Linked DNA regions of Sus scrofa. The protein of the gene in region 3 interacts with the protein of the main gene of each other region in a biochemical or structural test. Links are inferred from orthologs where the notes say so. Each region holds a gene or a part of one and is shown on either strand. Other genes may lie near its edges. The genes, in order: USP21, SNCA and YOD1.

Region 1 (6,379 bases), on a different chromosome or scaffold from region 3:
CATCCGTGGATCTTGGAGAATACGCCGCTGGACCCCGTAGCCAATCAGCAGCCTCGGCCTTTCTGCCCTCGAGGGGGGCGGACCCGGTTGATGCTGGCTGTGGTGGGAGAGGTGCAGAGATTAGAGGTCAGGGAGTTGTTCGTCCTCCCTCCTCGCCGCTACCCCTGAGCCCCAATACCACTTTGGAGCTCAGAGGTGGGGGAGGGAGTGATTGACAAGTCACTCTTTTAGTCTGCTTCGTTTGCAGCCTGGAGGGGCTGGAATCTGAGGATGGAATGCAGTCCTTTGGGCTCTTATACTTGCATCCACACCCCTCTTTGACCAGAGGTCCCAAGTGACCCAGGGCGCATCCCACTTGACTAGCTAGGAATGCGGGACCCTCATGAGTATTTAGATTATGAAGACAGCAGAGATAGGAACTATCTGTTGTTGGCTCTCTCATATTCTGCAGGAAGAGAGTGAGGAATGTGGAAAGAGTCAAAGCCCTGGCTTGCTGTATTCATTCATTCGTTCATTTACTCAGTGCATGTTAAGTATTTACTTTATGCCAAACACTATGCTAGGTATTGGGGATACAATGATTGATATGGTGGACATGGTTCCTGACCTCCATGTATGTAGAAGCTGGTATAGTAGGCTAGGTTCCCTCCTTCCTCCCTTTTCAAATGCTGACCCTCTCTTCTCCTCCCAGGTCCAGCCTGTGGTGTCCACAATGCCCCAGGCTTCTGAGCACCGCCTGGGACGGACCCGAGAGCCACCTCTTAATGTCCAGCCCCGAGTGGGATCCAAGCTACCATTTGCTCCCAGGGCCCGAAGCAAGGAGCGCCGAAACCCAGCCCCTGGGCCGAATCCCATGTTAAGACCTCTGCCTCCCAGGCCAGGTCCCCCTGAGGAACGTCTCAAGAAACTGGAGCTGGGACGGGGACGAACCTCAGGCCCTCGTCCCAGAGGCCCACTTCGGGCAGATCATGGAGTTCCCTTGCCTGGCTCACCACCCCCAACTGTGGCTCTGCCTCTCCCATCCAGGACCAACCTAGCCCGTTCCAAGTCTGTGAGCAGTGGGGACTTGCGTCCAATGGGGATTGCCTTGGGAGGGCACCGTGGCACCGGAGAGCTAGGGGCTGCACTGAGCCGCCTGGCTCTCCGGCCTGAGCCACCCACTTTGAGACGCAGCACCTCTCTCCGCCGCCTTGGGGGCTTTCCTGGGCCACCCACCTTGCTCAGCATACGGACAGAGCCCCCTACTTCCCATGGCTCCTTCCACGTGATATCTGCCCGGCCCTCTGAGCCATTCTACTCCGATGACAAGATGGTGAGGACTTGCCAGCACACATGGCCTTCCATGCTCATGTTCCTTCATGCTTCCAGCTTTCTTGCCATCATGTGGCTTTTCTTTCCCCCTTTTTCCCCAGGTTCATTTTTTTAACCCTTTGTTACAGCAGTTTGGACTCTCTCTCCCTTACTTAAGTGCCCTTGAGCCTCATAGACCCTTTTCAGGGTTGTCTGTGACTCTCCAGCAGGGTGTGCCATTTCATTCCCCAAGGAATTAACTCAACCATTTGGAATTCTTTGGGTCCCCAGGCCCTTACTTCCCCTTTCTGTACCTTCTCTCCTAGGATGCTACCTAAGTCTAATTAATCTCTGGAGCTGAAGAGGGGCGGGTTCAGAACATCTGAGCTAATGTGGTTGCCCATTTCCCGAGCTGAGTGAGCTAGGCTGAGTGCAGTTGGAGCCTTCAGGAGAGGGTGCAGGAAGGGGCCACGGGTGCAGGAGGGGGCCTTGGGGGTAGCAAGGTGGGGGTGGGGAGCAGCTGGGCAACCATGCCAGTGCTTGGGGAGTTGCCCCAGGAGCTGCATCGCCGGCTAGCTGGGCAGAGGAGTAAGTGGGCAACAGGTGGGACAGCCATGGCTGAGTCCGTGGTACACTCAGCTGTGATGGGCTTACTACTCATGGCCAGTGAGGTAGGGAGACCCCAATACCCAGTGAGGGAAAGAGTGTAGCGTTTGGGGGTGAAGGATGGGGTGGGGGAGGCAGTGGACAGCATGCTGTCAAAAGGATTAAAGTGCCAGGTGGGATGTATGGGAACCTGCTGACTGATCTCTGACCTTCCAGGCTCATCACACGTTGCTTCTGGGCTCTGGTCACGTTGGCCTCCGAAATCTGGGGAACACGGTGAGAGCCATTCTCCTGTCCTTCCTAATGGGAATGTGAACTGGTACTGGGGACAGGCATGGGGAAGGAGGGCACTGAAGTTCTCCCAGGGCTTCCTAGGCACTGGTTTGGAGAGATAATGGCAATGTCTCTGCTGCTCCCCAGTGCTTCCTGAATGCTGTGCTACAGTGTTTGAGCAGCACTCGGCCTCTTCGGGACTTCTGTCTGCGAAGGGACTTCCGGCAAGAGGTTCCTGGAGGGGGCCGAGCCCAAGAGCTTACTGAAGGTGGGGCAACAACTCCTGCTTCCTCCTTTCAAATCCTCTTTTTCCCAACCCATTGTAGGTCCATCTGCCAGTGTTGGTGGCCCCAACCCTGAAAGCCAGCAGTTTTGTCTTTTTCACAGTGCCTGCTTTCCTAGAGTTGTTTTCCACCCTCTTGCTTCCCTCTTCCAGTCGTTAACCTTTGTTTCCCTTCCCCACTCCCACCCTAATAGCCTTTGCAGATGTGATTGGTGCCCTGTGGCACCCTGACTCCTGTGAAGCTGTGAATCCTACTCGATTCCGAGCTGTCTTCCAGAAATACGTTCCCTCCTTCTCTGGATACAGGTGGGAGAACTGGAGGGTATGGGATTTCTCTCTGCCCATGTCTGGGGATAGGGCCAAGCAGGGGCCCTGGCAGCATCATTCTGAGCCTTGAGCTCTATCTAGGAAGTGGGGTCAGATGTCTGGGCACGGGTTAGTGACTGTGGACTAGGCAGGGGTCAGTTGCCCACGCTCTTTGTCTGGCTGCAGCCAGCAGGATGCCCAAGAGTTTCTGAAGCTCCTCATGGAGCGGCTACACCTAGAAATCAACCGACGAGGCCGCCGGGCTCCACCAATCCTGGCCAGTAGTCCAGCTCCCTCCCCACCCCGCCGAGGAGGGGCGCTGCTGGAAGAACCTGAGTTAAGGTAAGGTCGCGCCCCCTTTCTCTTGCCCATAGTTTATTAACAGCGTTCATCCTTCGCAGAAGTGAGCTAGTCAGGATTGAGGATGTAGAGTCCAAGGAAATGCTTATCGTAGAATTTGGTTTGAGAAGCAGTGCAGAAGTAGGAAGAAGGCAGGAGGAGGAGGGAGACTGAGGGGCACAGATGGAGGCAGAAGATAGTGCTGTGGCTGTCACCAGATTGACGGAGGAGGGGATAATTAATTTACAAGGTACATAGGGGTTTGAAGCCAGGTGGAGGAAGACGGCATGTTCTTCCCTTGTCTGTGTTCCTTTCTTTTCCTCTCACGTGGATTTCCCCGAAAAGTTCTCTGAAACGTTACTCGTTTGACTCTTCCTTGCAATTTTGAGAAGGAGCTGGGGTATGGGTGGGGTACAGGGCTCCGTGGATCATTTCAGTGGTGTTGGGGGTGCCCAGTGTTCCTGCTGTCTCATGGGTGCTCCCCACTTCCCTTGATCTGTGGTAGTGATGATGACCGAGCCAACCTAATGTGGAAGCGTTACCTGGAGCGAGAGGACAGCAAGATTGTGGGTATGGAACAAGACAAAGTGATGGGGGAAAATTCATGTGTGGGGGTGAAGACTTGGCAGGAAAAAATCAAGACTGTCGAGGGGTCTGGGAATAAGATGATGAAAATGTGGAAAAGTTAAGAGGGGAGAGTTAAGAGGGGAGAGTTGGCGATGGGAAAGAAGGGTCAGGCAAAGGGCTGGGAAGCGACAGGAATGCCAGAAAGCATCTCGGGCATCCCACAGTGACTTTTTCTCCTGCCCCTTTGCTTCTATCTAGACCTGTTTGTGGGCCAGTTGAAAAGTTGTCTCAAGTGCCAGGCCTGTGGGTATCGCTCCACGACCTTCGAGGTTTTTTGTGACCTGTCCCTGCCCATCCCCAAGGTGGGATTCCAGAGGATTCCGGGGGTGGATGGGACATGGGTTCTATGACCCAACCCTACCCACCCCCAGTGTGGGAGGGAACCATGTGGGTCTCTGGAGAAGAATCGAAGCTTGGGTTAATTGAGAAGAGTTGGAAAAGGAAATTCAGAACATGCTGACCCTTCACTCCCCTTTCCCCCCAGAAAGGATTTGCTGGGGGCAAGGTGTCTCTGCGGGATTGTTTCAGCCTTTTCACCAAGGAAGAAGAGCTAGAATCGGAGAATGCCCCAGTATGTGGAGGTTCACAAGGGATATAGTAAGGGTGGGATACCGGAGGTGGGGGAGGCTCCATGTGGGTAAAAGGGGTTGCATGATGCCTTAGTATGAGGAGTAACACTTATATGTAAAGATTTGTGTAGGAGTATTTTTCAGATATGTCCTGATCTGTCAGGGCAAAGGGCAGTGGCCCAGAGAACACAGAAGTAATAGGGAGCACAGTAAATTTATGTGAGTCAGGGTATTGGAAAAGACAACGGAGGTGAGGAGCACATTAACCTTATAACATTATTTGACATTTATTCAGGTGTGTGACCGATGTCGGCAGAAAACACGAAGTACTAAAAAGTTGACAGTACAAAGATTCCCCCGAATCCTCGTGCTCCGTATCCTAATCTTCAAATTCTTATTTCTCCCATTCATTCTTTTTCCTCATTCTCCAAGTTTGCAGAGGCTGGACATTTGGGGATTCGGTTTGCCTTAGGAAAAGGCTGCCACTCCATCTTTCCCTCCTGTGCTCCCAGTGTGTGTTCAGGGAGGGGAGTAGACAACATTCAGTTCCCCAGCCCCCTCAGAGGCCCTCTGCCTCCCAAATTCTCCTTAACCAGAACTTAGATCTTAATCGATTTTCTGCCTCCCGAGGCTCCATTAAGAAAAGTTCAGTAGGTGTAGACTTCCCACTGCAGCGACTGAGCCTAGGGGACTTTGCCAGTGACAAAGCCGGTGAGTCTGGGAAGGAGGGTCCTGAGGAGTTCCATGAAGGGGAGGGAGAGAATGGCGGAGCAGGGCACAGCTCTAACTATAGAATTTGGTCATCTCTAACCCTGAAGGAAGCCCCATATATCAGCTGTATGCCCTTTGCAACCACTCGGGCAGCGTCCACTATGGCCACTACACAGCCCTGTGCCGGTGCCAGACTGGTTGGCATGTCTACAATGACTCTCGGTGAGAACAGCCTTGCCCCATTCCTGCTGCAGCCTTGACACCTTTCCCCAGTATGAAGAAGCCCCAGGAGACAGTGCCTACTGAAAGGAGATGTGGGATTGGGGGTGTGGGGGCGGTGTCTTTCCTAGGCACCACCCGGATACTGTGATGTTGATCTTGTGGGGAGGAGGGTCTATACAGGAAAGATCACACCTCCTTCCCCATCTCCCTTCTTCCTAGTGTCTCCCCTGTCAGTGAAAACCAGGTGGCATCCAGTGAGGGCTACGTGCTGTTCTACCAACTGATGCAGGAGCCACCCCGGTGCCTGTGACCTCCCTTTTAATCCCTGGCACCTGTGAAATCCTTTCAACACCCTTAAGCCCCAGGCTCCCCATTTACCTCAGAGACGTCTATTTTTGTGTCTTTTTAATCGGGGAGGGGGGAGGGGGTGGTTGTACCTCCTATTATTTTTTTTATTAAAAAGTACCCTTCCACCTGGAGGCTCCCTTGTCTCCCAGCCCCATGTACAGAGCTCCCTAGGCCCTGCCCGTGTACAGTCCCCACACCCTCTGCAGTCTCACTTTTTTGTGAATAAATTTATTAAGAAAAAAAATGATGTTCTTTGTATTTGTGCCTAGCGAGTGGAGATATAGAACTGGGCCGAATGGGTAGTTTTCCTGGCACTCAGTTCCCTTTCTAAACGATGGGGGGCGCTCGGAGCCGTGAGGCTGAGGGTGGGGATGGGGATGCAGGATCGGGACGCGTTGATGCCCAAGTTTGCCAAAGCGGTGAAGGTTTACATTGGGAGGAAATGAAGGCTGCAGGGAGGCCTGGATCCAGAGTGCAGGCACTGGGTCGACGGGGTTTGCCGGCGTAGGGGCCTGCCCCGCGAGAGCAAAGCACCCAAGGACCCCTGTTGACAAACACGGTACGTTGCCGGGGCGCCCTAGCTCCCGTAGGCCCAGGCTGTTGCTAACATCAAGGAGCTGTTTATGGAGCCACCTCCCCGGGGACCAGCCTCCAGTGTCCCTGTCTACTCTCCCTACAACCAAGACTCATGAGGACCTTCCTCCAGGGTTCCAACCCTAGCTGGACCTGGCAAACTTGAGCTGGGGAATGTTAACCAGGATTCTGCTCTTGCCGCTCCAGCCCTGAGGGGAGGGCAGTACCGAAT
Region 2 (6,954 bases), on a different chromosome or scaffold from region 3:
TTTGTGTGAGGGATGAGAAATCATCTTTCCCTGCAGATGATTAGCAGTACAGAAATGGCAAAATTTCAAATATGAATGCAGCGTTTTAGGACCCAAATGCCCCTTTATTTCCCTTCCCACGTCCAAATTCAAAGGTTATTTGTCACAGAACCGGGACTCACCTTTTTTCCTCCCACTCTATCCCATGCCCAATCTGTAAGGTTCCAGAGGGTTTGGCCAATTCAGGAGACAGTGTGCCTTCTGGAATAGTTCCTGCTGGATTATCTCAGCTCTGCCACATTTTCTGCCTTTTACCAAAATTTTTGGGGCTTTGGATTCCCTGTCTGCAAAAGGTACATAATAAAACTTAACTTTCCCACTTACTATGATTAAATGATACAGTAATTAGTTCTTTGCCAAGCATAAAGTACCACAGAAGGGTGTGGAATCATGCTATGCTACAAGAAGCACAAAAATGCTCAACACCTGCTTCAAAGTAATTCTCTCATTGGTCCGTGTAGGGTATAAGGTATGTCTCACTTTATTCACCCTTTTGACTTCTTAAGGAGGCCCCTGTTAAGCTATAAATATGTCATATAATTGAATATTTAATATTTATATTAAATAACTAGTTGTGATGTGTCACTCAGGAAAACATTTGTTATTGGCAGTAATAAAGGGAAATAATTGAAAGCAATAAAAACACCAACACTACTGGAGTTCCTGTTGCAGCTCAGTGGTAGCAAACCTAGCTAGGATCCATGAGGGCTCAGGTTTGATCCCTGGCCTTGCTCAGTGGGTTAAGGATCCAGCATTGCTGTGAGCTGAAGTGTAGGTTGCAAACGCAGTTTGGATCTCACGTTGCTGTGGCTATGGTACAAGCTGACAACTACAGCTCTGATTGGACCCCTAGCCTGGGAACTTACATATGTCATGGGTGTGGGCCTGGAAAAAAAAAAAGAGAGAGAGAGAGAGAAAGAAAAAGAAACACTACCAGTTCATGCAACAACACAGATGAATATTAGGCTAAGTAAATATAAGTAAAAGAAGCCAGATACCAAAAAAAAAAAAAAGTTCATACTGTATAATTTTATTTTTAAGAAATTCTAGAATATATACAACTTAAAAGGGCACAAGGAAACTTTCTGGGGTGATGAAATGTTTCATGTATTTATTTTTAACGGTGTGGGTTCCACTAATGTATGTCTTTTCCCCTCTCTCTTTTTATTGGAGTTTTTACTGAAGTTTTGTTGAAGTAGAGTTGATTTACAAAGTGGTGATACTTTCTGCTGTACAGCACAGTGATTCAGTTCTACGTGTACACACATTCCATTCCCTTTCAGATGCTTTTCCCAGCATGTATTTTTCAAAACTGTTTTAAGGGAACACTCAAGAGCTGAGCCTATCGCTGTTTATAAATCTTACTTAAAATTGAGAAAAGACCATTGAAATAGTATTGTTTATTTTAAAAGATTTATATTTTATGGATGCAGGGTTAAATATTTACAGATGAAAAGACATATATAATTCTTGGGATTTAGTAAAAATTGGGGGAAGGAGTAGTGATAAATATAGGGAATAGACAAGAATGCAGATGCACGTGGTTGACTGCATTAGAAAACAATGGAAGGAGTTCCCGTCGTGGCGCAGTGGTTAACGAATCCGACTAGGAACCATGAGGTTGCAGGTTCGGTCCCTGCCCTTGCTCAGTGGGTTAACGATCCTGCGTTGCCGTGAGCTGTGGTGTAGGTTGCAGACGCGGCTCGGATCCCGCGTTGCTGTGGCTCTGGCGTAGGCCGGTGGCTACAGCTCCGATTCAACCCCTAGCCTGGGAACCTCCATATGCCACGGGAGCGGCCCAAGAAATAGCAACAACAACAATAACAACAACAACAACAACAAAAAAAAAAAAAAAGAAGAAAGAAAACAGTGGAAGCTGGGTGATATTCCATGGAGAGTCCTTTATTCTATTTTTGTTTTTGTTTTGCTTTTTAGGGGTGCACCCGCAGTATATGGAAGTTCCCAGGCCAGGGGTGGCTGGACCTGTAGCTACTGGCCTATACTACTACTACAGCCACAGCAACACCAGATCCCAGCCCTATCCCTGACCCACACTGCAGCTCATGGCAATGCAGGATCCTGAACCCATTAAGTGAGGCTGGGGATGGAACCCGCATCCCCACGGATACTAGTTGGGTTTGTCACTGCTGAGCCACAACAGGAATTCCTATTCTCTCCATTCTTGTATGTTTGAACATTTCCCATAATAAAAAGTTGAAAAGAGAGGGATCATCTTGGTTCCTCTCCCTTTACAAGAGAAAACTGAACATAACTTGTATTGGCTCTCAAAGCCAAAAAGCAAACCAACTTCCAAGTTTCCTTCCAAGTTCCCCAGGAAACAAAATAGGAGCGTTTTTAGAAAGCCTACTTTTTAAAAGGGCCGACCATCAGTGCAAGGAGTAGGTTAAGCAATATATATACTTGCTTCCCATCTCTTTGGGTTTCAAACTGTTGTTTTTGTAGATTTAAATTACTTTTTACTCACATTCCAGAATGTGAGTCCAAGGATCAGAGAAATTCCCCCCCACACACACACAAATAAACACAAGACAAGCAAAAAAAAAAAAAAAAATCTGCAAAGACCTGTTTTTTCCCCTTCCAGTTCTAAAAGCATCCTCCTATTCCAGGCAAAGCAAGCAGAGGCAGTCTGTTAGGGGGAGGAGCTTGGTTCTCCATTCCGGTGTGATCCAGGAACAGCTGTTTTCCCTCCAGCTCTGAAAGGTGAAACTGTGTCAAGCAATGCAAAAATTGTCTTGAAGCTCGTGCATGTGTATGTCTGTGTGTCTGTGTGTGGGATGGGGTAGCCTGTCAGCCCCGAGGACAACGTGAATCAGTAGTCGGAAAGGTGAGTGGTATGTGGAATCTCTCTTTTCAGAAGGGGCCCATGAAATTGGATATGACGGTTCAGGAGACTCAGTCACTCTGGATTTATCTCTTCCATCCAGGAACAGGAATCTGGAAAGTAAATCCCATTCTGAGAACAAAACGCCTTACAGCCGCTGGGTTTCGACGGCTGGGGAATATTTATTCCTTGATCCACTGATGGGAAAAATCAGCGTCTGGCAGCCGCTGATTGGTGGAAAGAAAATGGTGATAGTGGGGTGGGAAGAGGATTTGACGAGCCTCCTCCTGCCTCCTCAACCTGTAACTCATCCTTACTAGTCGCCTCTCCACCTGCCGGACCACTTCGGGCTCAGGAGAGGTTAAGAACAAACGTTAAATCCGGAGAATAGTTAAACAAAAGCTTCGTTAACATTGTGTCCTAAGGACCCTTCATCCAATTTCAGTGATGCGAGGGAAACCTGCGCTTGGTCCTGATGCGGGTACCTTCCGAAGCTACCTGTCTCCTTTAGCAGCTCCCCGAAAGACTGGCGCTATTTTGGTGGTAGAGCCCTCAGACCCCACTTCCCCGGGCTGGCTCATGACGTGGGGGTCCGCAGGAAAAACCGGGGGGAAAGGCGGAGACTGGGAAGGAGGGGGGATGGGGAGAGAGAAACAGACATCAGACATCAGCCCAAGCCTCAGAGCTCCGGATCGCCGCCAGAGCCCGGGCGCCCCTGAACTTGAGGTGAACCGCCCAACACCCCACCTTCCAGTCTCCCAAGCCCAGGCGGGCGGCTGGCGTTGGAGGTACAGCCTCCCACCACCCCCATCCGAGAAGAGGAGTGAAGTGCACGCGGCGGGGAAAGCAACGCGCGCAGGGAGCGGGGCGGGGAGCGGCGCTGACAAATCCGCTGCGGGGGCGGGGAGCGGAGGAGAAGGAGGAGGAAGACGAGGAGAAGGACCGAGACCACTAGAAGGGGACCCAGGAGAGGGGGCGAGAGACAGAGCGCAGCGACGTGGGGGTGAGGTGTGTGCTGGCTTTGGAGCAGACCCGGGGACCGCGCCTTGCCTTTGGCAGCCTTGGCGCTCTTTCGCCGCCTTCCCTTCCTCCCTTCTTCTGCCTGGAATCCTCTCGTGCGGGGGACGGGGAGTGGCGATTCGACGACAGGTTCGCGGGTTCCCTCCCACGCCCCCAGCCTCTCCCCCCAGGGTTGTGCCGACAGCCGCCTCCGCTGAGGGCCATCCCTCTCCTGGTGCCGCCTCCACCCTTCCTGTGCGCTCCTATCCTCCTCCCTCCCATTTAAATAATATTTAGGAATTGTTTTTAAAATTTTTTAAGTGGGTGCGGGGAGGATCGGAGTTCTCAGGAGCCAAGGGAATCAGGTAAGTACCTGTGAATCTAAGTGGGCAGCTTGGGAAATCTTGGAGAAAACCTGGTGGGAGAAGAGTCATTGCGGCGCCTGGGGGGGGGGGGGGGTTAGTGCTGCGGTGAGGACCTGCCATAGTCGAGTCTCTCTTAGAGGTGGGCACTGACCCCTTTGGTGAGCTTGAGGAAAGTAAATTGACTCGGCTTACCTCTCTTCTCGTCCTCAAAGGCTGAGCGGTCTGGATTCTCCGGGATACGCTTTTCCTTTGGGAAAGTCGAGGATGCTCGAAGGATTATAACTATTCAACTTTTATTTCTTACTTTCCTTAAATCCCCCAGCCCACCCTCTCTGTTCTCTCTGTAAAGTAAGCAAGCTGTATTGGGCAAGCCTTTAAATGGAAGCGCAGAGAGAGCAAGTCAACAGGTGGGAAGGGGTTAACAGGTGCTGGGCGCCGGGTGGGTGGCGGGTTCAGCGGGCTAACTCCACCTCTGGCAGCTGGCGCGCATCCGGAGACTGCCTGCAGGTGTGAACGCTCCTGCTTGCCTGCTCAGGGTAGACAGCTGAAGGTGGGGTACAGCGTCCAGTGGGTGAGAGCCACTGCAGGTGGGCTTGCAGTTGGCCTGGGGTTCAGCCACACCCAGAGTGAGTGGTTCTCTTCCCACCCCTCTTCCTGATCAACCTGTTAGCTGTTTGGGGGATTTATTTTGAGTATCTCTGACCCCCCCTCCTCCAGCTCCTTTTTCCGTTTCCTGTGATCTGTCTTCTAAACGCACTTCTAACTTAACACCTTCATCGTTTGGACCCTGGGAAATTGAAAGGGGGGAGGGGGTAAGTCCTTTCATGTAACTCCACTTGGAATGCGGTGAGAACAACTCAGATGATTCATCCCAATCCATGTTTAGGAGGCTAGACTTCCACCAAACAAGATGGATGGGAGATGCTAAATTTTTAATGCAAAAGCTAAAAAAAGGCTGCTTTGTCCAGTGGTTGAAACAGAGGTACACCTACAAGAGTCCTGCATTTTTTTTGGGGGGGGGCGGGGGAGTCTACTGATCTTTCAGTGATTTTTACCTTGGGTGGTTCTAATTTCGTTTTGTTTTACCCCAAAGTTCTCAAAGTGTATTTTGTGTTCTCCAGTGTGGTGTAAAGGAATTCATTAGCCATGGATGTATTCATGAAAGGACTTTCAAAAGCCAAGGAGGGAGTCGTGGCTGCTGCTGAAAAAACCAAACAGGGTGTGGCAGAAGCAGCGGGAAAGACAAAAGAGGGTGTGCTCTATGTAGGTAGGTAAGCCCTAGATGTCAATTTGAAATTTATTTATGACTGGTGGGTTAGGGTGATTGATGCCTTAAATGCTGGTATTTCTCAGTTTTGCAGCTTCACTTGTCAAAATGATGGTCTGAGTCAGAGGTTTGTGTAGGTAGGTGAATGTTTAAGTTTGAGCTGATAGTAAAAAAGTGGGGCTGTTTTGTTTTTCCAGATTATTTAGCTTTGCAATAACACTTTGTACTTTGTTTCTTTTTTTTTAATGAATCTTTCTATGTGTAAGTAACCATAGTTCTAAGGACAGTTTTTAAAACTCAGTCTTTAAAATATTCTTATTCTTTTTTATTATTTGTTTTAACAAAGCCATAAGCTTTTGATTTCTTCTATCATGATAATATTTGCTAATTTGAGTGCATTCTAATTTAAAAATAAGACTTTGATATGACCTTGAGATACATAAAGAGAGACCTACTGTAGCCCTAAAAAGGAAAGGCAGAAAAAGTCTTTGATGGAGATACTTCTGGTGATGACCTGCTAAGCTGGGGACTCCAGAAAGTACTTGAGGGCTGCCATCTCTGAGCTGTTGATATAGTTCCTTTATCTAATGAGACACACAATAAATTGTGAAATTGATGGTTATCATTTCGACCTGTTTATAAATTCTCATCTTGGAATATTCTTGCAGACCCTCCCTGACTCTCTTTACTTTGAACTGTGTTAGGCTGGAACTTTATAAACCGCTTCACATTCTCTGAGGAAGGAAGGGGCACACACATATAGACACACTCATCCATAGAGATACACACACATACACATGAGGCGTACACTCACCCACTGCCAATTCTGCCTCTCTTCTTTCTCCTCTGAGCTTTTCCATATTTTCTGGTAGCAGCTGTAGCAACAGTAGCCACAGGATGAGCAATAAGGTGGAGGATAAGCTTGTTGCATGACATAGAATACCCTGCCTCTGTCTTTGGGGTGACATAAAGCTACACTATCTCTCCAACATAGATGGGCTGGAGAAAAGTTATGCTTGGAATGATTTTTATTATCCTTCTCATACTATTTTTTTTTCTCGATGGTTATAGATTCTTTTTATGTTGGCTTAATCTAAACCATAAATCTCCAATTAAATTACTTTCTCTCTCAAAACATATTTTTTGCAAATCATTGGATTAAAAGATGTCACAAGAGGGAAGAATTGATCAGTTAATTACAGGTTTTTTTGTGAAGTGTGAATTATACATCTTTTTAGATGGAATTTGGAATACTGAATCATGACATGCAGATAACTAATATCTTTATATTTGTCCCCAGTTTTCCAAGTTGTGCAAGTGCATGCTTATAGCTATTCTTTGATTTCAATTACTTTATAACTTGTAACTTTAAAGATTTTTAGTATGATAATATCCACTTTATTAGTTTTTAATGAGTCCAGAAACTACTACATATTAAATTA
Region 3 (6,765 bases):
TAATTTTAAAGTTTTATCCCATGTGACAAAGATGAATAAATGAATAGCATTAAAACAATGAGGCCAATGGTCTTTTAAAGCTTCAGTAAGCTGCTCAGGCACCTTTTCCCTCATACATTCTACTTTTATACACTAGAAATCCTAAATTGGGCACTATCAGTTCCTATTTTTAAATAACATTCTCAAGGAGTAGACTGATCCCTGTAAAAATTGCTTGTTATGGACTTTGCATACAATGAAGTACACATTTATAAAGTCTACCAAATTGCAATATAAAATCAGTTTTGACAATTCTGAGCATCTTCATTAGAGGAATCTATTCATAATTTAGTAACGTTAACTCATTCCGAATTTTTAAAAGGACTCAATTACCGGAGACACTGTGGTTTATGTCCAGTGGCCTCCCTGAGGCCTTTTACATTACCCCAAATATGATGCTGTTTTCTTCTCCCAGTTAATGCCGCTGGGTGCTAATTTATAATACTAAAACTCAATCTTCAGGTTAGTGTCAGTAGGTAGCAAGGACCACCTATTCTGTCACCCCAGCAGAAAGAGGGCATGGATCACCACTGTAGACGCACATCTGTAAACTTGCACACTAATTTTAATCTTAACAAGGAATTCAGTGTCTTAGTGGTTTTAGGTTAAAATGATGGTTCAAGCATTGTGTCCTTTTACTCTTGAGGGTTACGAATAGCTTATTGGAAAACCCAGAGCCTTCTGGATCTGTGAGGTAGTAGGCTTCAATCCTCATCATGCATGGATCACACTTCTCCAAAGTTGGTATGGCCTGTCTCCTTGGCATGGTCCCTTGCTTCTGCTTGTCCAGTTAATCCCTTCTGACATACCATGCATCTCAGGGTGAAGCGGTTGACATCAGTAAATTGTCTCTTGCTTCTAGCTTCATCTGCTAATTCCAGTGCTTGTACAAGAACAATATCATCATTAGAGGAGAAAATGGTCAGAGGAGGGGTGTCTGGGTCAGGGAAGACACGCTGAAGTGGATCATAGTGGATGCCATCATATATAAGCAGGACCCGTTTGGTGTATCCTGCATCTTCCCCAAAACGATCAATTCTTACGGTCTGTGTATCCACTACACATATTTCGCATTGATAAAATTTAGACAAAATGGATATCTCAATAGCTCCACCCCAAGTATCATCCCTTTTGATCCAGTCACAGTACTCTTGATTTGTTTTTCCCAGTATTGCCTCACTATAGAAGTCTGGATCACTTGCTACGATTTGTGCTATGAGGCGTCTCATCTCCGGGGCACAAGCTGGATTCAAGACTCCTCCTTCAACAACATAGTACACACTGGTAAAGAGGCAAGAGTTGTCTGCTGGGACCGTTGTTCTGGTAAGCACAGGCAAAGGTTCCCTGACGTAACTAGGAGCACCATGTTTTGTAAATGCAGGTGATGTTTTGGGTCTGGTTTGGTCTTCTTCAACGATCAGCATGTCGCCTGTCAAAAATAAAACAAATCCAGAACTGCAGAGACATCATAGATGAAATGGGTATTCTCTAACCAAGTCTGTAAACTACAAACACGAGTTAAAAAGTGTAAGTTGGGGTTAGCAGGGAGAATACAGTTTTGCAAACATGTTTCGTCTTGTTTACTGAAATCTCCATAAAGATGAAAACAGAACAAAGAGAAAAACGTTTTAGGTTGCACTTAATTTAGTAAAGGGGCCTGAGGTATCCACCTTTATAATTTACTTGAAAAGACCCATTTCAAGAACAAAATTTTCTTAAGCTTGCTCCCTGCAGTTTACAAGCATAGATCGTCAAAAGATTTTTATTACAGAATAGGCCACTAGGGGGTTCTCTCCTTCTGAAACTTAATTATCTACTCTAGTGTTTACAGGGAGGGATCCTTGATATAACAGGGGAAAGGCTTTTAATTATCAATATTGCTGTTCAAGCTTTCATATTGGATAGAAATAACTTCTGTTGTCTAGAACTTAAAAAGGACTTTAGTAGATGTGTCAAAGCAAACTCTAAAATGAGTACACCTATCAAAGGAAGTATATATGAAGGTGACTGCAAAAATGAACCAGGAAAGCAAAAAAGTATCCTACATCCTTCAGACCTGCTGACACCTTTCAGTGATCTAAACGAAAACAGCCATCAGGACAGAAAATTTAAGTTCCACCTTTAAAAATACTTTTGTGGACGCAGAGGTTAAACAAAATGAATGAGATCTTTTCCAGACATACTAGAAAGCAGTGGGAAGGGGACTCCAAGCTTTGGGCTTGTCAGAGATCGGGCCCTCCCTGTCTCTTTCAACTGTACCTAACGTCAAGGAATTGCTAGACACTTGTCCCGACCTCCGTCAGAGTTCTGTTTTTTAACCTGTCCTCGTCCTCAAAGCCCCCAGCTGACCCATAGCCACCTCAACTGTTTCCACATGCCCTCTTGGTCTTCCCAGGACTCTGCCCGGTCCCAGCCTCGATCCCCCTTACCTGACTGGATGGGCAAGTCCCCCAGAATGGTATCCCCTTCGCTGAGATCCAGGCACTCGGGTGGGTATCCGACAAGGATGCGCTGACAATCGGGGGCAATCCCGGTGATGGCGGCAATTTGGCCCTGGAGTTCCCGCACCCGGGTACGGCTGGACAATCCCTGCAAAACATGTGTGCCATCCTTGGCCTTGCAGCGGAGCCGCCACATCGTGTCGCTCTGGCCGCCCATAGGCCAGACACCCGTGGACCCAGCTTTGGTCCCCGCAGCACGTTGGGAGACGCCGCCGGGGAAACCAGCCTCCCGCGGGACTCCAAAATGGCCACCCTTTGCCGGACCAAACATCGCGAGAAGTCGCTGGCTATAGTTCTCGCGACACTCCGCAGCTTCAGTCTTAGCCTATTCTTAAAGTGACAACTAGTTCCCACCCACCCCTACTTTAGGTGGCAAAGGGTGATGATTTAGCCGTATTCCTAAAGTGCGGCTAGTCTTGCTGCCTGTAGAACGAGTGAGGCACCTTCTGCGTTGGCAGAATATATGCTCAAGGGAAGAGGGCGGAGAACGGAGTTCCTGAATCTAATACATTGGAATGTAACCTTGCACTTAGGTCGGAAATTATTAAATTGGGGCTTCCAAACCACGCCGGATCATAGTTCGGAAGGCAAACGAATGCCAAGAATGGTCAGTGAGTCAAAAAGACCTGTCAAAGACAAACATATACTCGTGATTAGACGCATGGCTGCAGCAAACACTGACTCATTGAGGTTAAGGGACCCGGGGGACTGGCCTTTCCACCTTCATGAGCCTGCAACTTAAAAACGTCCATTTGCCACATCAGAAAGCGCAGTATGAGGTCAGCATCTGGGCCGAGGGCTATTCGGGAGGTGCTGGCAGTGTAAGAAGGAGGAATGAAGAGGGCTACCGTGTGTCATCCAGATTCCAGTTCGCCCTAGTTATACAAATACCAAGACGACTCCATTCCTGACTTCATTATGGCGAAGTACTCACGTAATCAGGAGAGCCGGTGAGGTGTAAAGGACACGCAACCCCTGTATTTCACAGCAACGTGATAATGCTAGGTTGTGTGACTTTTTCCAACCCCGTATCCCTAAACACAGGACTGTGCCTTCCAAGTAAGTGCTCTGTAAACACTTGCTGAATAGTTAGAACCAAGTTGTATAAGCACAGAGAAGGCAACTGTAACATACTGGGAGTTGTAAAAAGTTTCAACGAGTAGGTAATGATTTGAGCTGTTCAGAAGGATGAATTTAACCCCCAGGTGACAGAGGAATAAAAATACCTCTGAATTTCTCTCTCTTCCAAGAAATCCATACTCATTGTTCTTTTTCCATCCTGAATCCGAAGCAGCAAGGCCTACCCCGCGTAGAGACAGTTTATCAACAGAATCAAGCATCAAGGGGGCCTGGGGGCAACTGTGAAAAGTTCACTCGGAATGTGCAAACTCACCTCCACTGTAAAAGCCTCTAGATCTGAATAAGTTATATGGAGACTTTGCATCTTTTCAGATCTTTCATGACCCAATTTTCTCCTTGAGCAGTTTTTCTCTTTGGTTCTTCAAGATGACCATAACAGATGGTACAGTGTGAGTGGTAAGAGGGAGAATAAATAAGATGGTAAATCCACTGAAGTATGTGCATGGATCCAGGGAAGCTCCTGGTTCAGCGGTGAGAGTTGTTGATTTCCTTAGTTTACAGTGTCCGCGACCTGAGGCAAGAATATGCAAACACCTTAAGATGTATTGTGGTAGTTTACTCTAGCAAACACCTTCCAAGCTTACGTCCCAATTTACAGATCTAACAGATCCCGCTGGGATTCAGGAAAAAGCGTTAATCTCCGCAATGATTTTTCCGGTCACCCTCTCAAGACTTCTACTAGTTCATTCTCGCGAGAGGACGAAAAAACCCACAAAACTTACTTTTTATTAATCCCGCCCCCAGCCCTGTTAGTTGCCAAGCAACGATGCAACCAACCTCCACGGTGCTGGGAAACTTGCGAGCTTGTGATTTTTCCCCTTCACAGTTCTATCCTCCTTCTGGAGCTAGCGTCAGTGATTCTAATTTGAGCCCCGCCCCCTGAAGCCTGCTTGCTCTCTATTGGTGGACGATTCTCTCCAGGTGAGGACCAACGCGGGAGTGGGCGGAGCCAGGCGGGGGCACGTGATTTGCCGGCGACTGGTGTGCCGGACACCGGCCACAGTCTGTGGGTTCCCGTCTGCCGCGTTACCCGGTAGGTGCTGGGGCCACAGACGGGAGGAGTCTTAGGAGGGATCTTGGGGTGGCCGACAGCTGTACAGCGTCTTGAAGGGTCTAGGCGGACGAGAGGAGGGAGGGGCCGCATGCACCCTGAGATGTGGGAAGATGAAGCCTCGTCGTTTCGGGGAAGTACGGGCCCCCGGGCGTCGCCTGGAGTGCGGATGTTTAGGAACTCAAAGCTGCAGTTTATGTGAGTTACAGGATTTGTGTGGTTAGTGGAAGTACAGTGCAAGGTCCCTGAAGCAGTAGGACCTTCCTTCCTCACGAGTCCTTGTCCGGGTTTGTAGGGAGAACGCGTGGGGCTCTCCCACACTAGTTCGAATCAGGACTTACCCGTTATTCTGTAGGCGACCTTGGGGAAGTTATTTACCACCTCTTTGCTCCCCAGTGTTTCTTCCATGGACTGTTTCCCAGGGGATCGTTGGGGAGAGGGTGTGGACAAGGGCTTGAGAGTAGGAACACCAGAGGAGAAATGGTGACGGGTGAGGGCTGTCTCTGGGTCCAGTTACAGTTTTTCCTTCAGGGGATATGTTTGAGATTTTTCCCACTTCTCATTTTTTTCAGGACTGAATCCTCCCATTGGACTGCAGTTACTTTATGATAATGGACTTGATCTATTTGCAACTCACCCCACCCCCAACTGCTGCCACTACTCTCCCCAGATTCTTAAACTGGAATCTGAAGTCAGGAAGGAACTTGGATGAACCACTTAGTTTGATTAATCTCAGTTTTTCAATCTGTAAAATGAGGAGAAGTAATAATGGTAGCAAAATCTGTTTCATTACAGGATTGTTGGGAGGATTGAAGGAGATAATTTATTTGAGTGTAAACTCCAAAGTCAGCAATATAAATGCAAGCTTCTGCTGCACCTCTTCAGAGATGAGGAAACACAGGGCTAGGGGCATTCATGACTTATTAGGGCGTATAGCTCTTAACTGGGAAAAAGGCTGGACTTGACTCTTGGGCCAGGGTTCTTGCACTTATACCTCTCTGATCCTCTTCACTGAGTGTTTGGAAGGTTGTCTCCTTCCTTCTCTTCCTTATATCCCTTTTATCCCTTCCAGGGGTCCCCTGAAGAGCTGCCATGTCTGGGAATCCTGCATCTTCCTCAGAACAGAACAACAACAGCTATGAAACCAAAACAAATCTCCGAATGTCAGAGAAGAAATGCTGTGAGTGGTGGGAAAGAGGAAGGGCTGCCTTGTCCCAGGTTTTTGTCTTGGGAATATAGTTGTAATCCTAGACTTTGCTGCTCAATGGGAGTAAGAAATAAGTCTTTGACACGGGAATTTAAAACAAAGGCCATCAGGGGAATTTCCTGTCTGAAACAAGTAGACTCCGTGAAATGTCTGTCTTTGGTGCTAGGCTGCCCATGTGGCCGAGCATTTTCTTCCTGCTTTTGTTAACTGAATCTCTGTCTTCTGGGGGTATCTGTACACTCCACTGATGTTGAAAGAGCAAGCACTGTTGTATATGCAGTGAGTAAGACAGAGAGGCACCGGTACAGGGATTACTTGGGGCTGGTCCCGCTAACGGTTTCCCTTTATCGCTTAGGCTAAGTTTTGTGAGAGTGCTGCTCACTGCAGAAATTGCAGGTAGGAACCAGTCACTCATTTCTACAGACCTAAGGGGAATCAGCCTTGACATTTCACTTCTCGCCGTGTCTTGGGCACCTTACTTTCTCACAGGTTAACCTTTATACTTTGCAAACTATTTTCCCTGCAGGTTCATTCCTCTGGGGATGGGTTTCACAGGAGCATCTCCATGCCCATTTTTTTTAGACAGAGACAGCAGGTGGGTTTGCAGAGAGGTGAAGTGTCATTTCTTTTTTTCTTTTTTCTTTTTTTTTTCTTTTTGTCTTTTTGCTATTTCTTTGGGCCGCTTCCACGGCATATGGAGATTCCCAGGCTAGGGGTCTAATCCGAGCCGTAGCCACCAGCCTACACCAGAGCCACAGCAACTCGGGATCCGAGCCGCATCTGCAACCTACACCGCAGCTCACGGCAACACCAGATCGTTAACCCAC

What was found.
Region 1: the proteins of YOD1 (region 3) and USP21 form a complex in vitro, tested with the Homo sapiens proteins (2 studies listed by BioGRID, with this or other methods). The link is inferred for Sus scrofa from reciprocal best matches to the Homo sapiens genes YOD1 and USP21.
Region 2: the proteins of YOD1 (region 3) and SNCA form a complex in vitro, tested with the Homo sapiens proteins (2 studies listed by BioGRID, with this or other methods). The link is inferred for Sus scrofa from reciprocal best matches to the Homo sapiens genes YOD1 and SNCA.

What each region holds. Positions count from the first base shown.
Region 1 is NC_010446.5:89,288,495-89,294,873, reverse strand, and holds the end of USP21 (ubiquitin carboxyl-terminal hydrolase 21), read left to right. Parts: intron 1-691; 5' UTR 692-712; coding exon 713-1,312; intron 1,313-2,112; coding exon 2,113-2,172; intron 2,173-2,316; coding exon 2,317-2,437; intron 2,438-2,646; coding exon 2,647-2,758; intron 2,759-2,944; coding exon 2,945-3,100; intron 3,101-3,602; coding exon 3,603-3,667; intron 3,668-3,922; coding exon 3,923-4,026; intron 4,027-4,208; coding exon 4,209-4,295; intron 4,296-4,588; coding exon 4,589-4,667; intron 4,668-4,896; coding exon 4,897-5,004; intron 5,005-5,111; coding exon 5,112-5,226; intron 5,227-5,445; coding exon 5,446-5,536; 3' UTR 5,537-5,818; downstream 5,819-6,379. UniProt on the Homo sapiens protein: Deubiquitinates histone H2A, a specific tag for epigenetic transcriptional repression, thereby acting as a coactivator.
Region 2 is NC_010450.4:129,245,042-129,251,995, forward strand, and holds the start of SNCA (alpha-synuclein), read left to right. Parts: upstream 1-2,682; 5' UTR 2,683-2,760; exon of another isoform or gene 2,761-2,884; intron 2,885-3,517; exon of another isoform or gene 3,518-4,245; intron 4,246-4,362; exon of another isoform or gene 4,363-4,384; intron 4,385-4,733; exon of another isoform or gene 4,734-5,057; intron 5,058-5,134; exon of another isoform or gene 5,135-5,227; intron 5,228-5,366; 5' UTR 5,367-5,391; coding exon 5,392-5,512; intron 5,513-6,954. UniProt on the Homo sapiens protein: Neuronal protein that plays several roles in synaptic activity such as regulation of synaptic vesicle trafficking and subsequent neurotransmitter release.
Region 3 is NC_010451.4:67,677,317-67,684,081, forward strand, and holds the start of YOD1 (ubiquitin thioesterase OTU1), read right to left. Parts: upstream 4,406-6,765; 5' UTR 3,985-4,405; coding exon of another isoform or gene 3,934-3,984; intron 3,927-3,933; exon of another isoform or gene 3,167-3,926; 5' UTR 2,812-3,166; coding exon 2,469-2,811; intron 1,469-2,468; coding exon 765-1,468; 3' UTR 1-764. Other genes in the region: PFKFB2 (6-phosphofructo-2-kinase/fructose-2,6-bisphosphatase 2), read left to right, coding at 5,824-5,911. UniProt on the Homo sapiens protein: Hydrolase that can remove conjugated ubiquitin from proteins and participates in endoplasmic reticulum-associated degradation (ERAD) for misfolded lumenal proteins.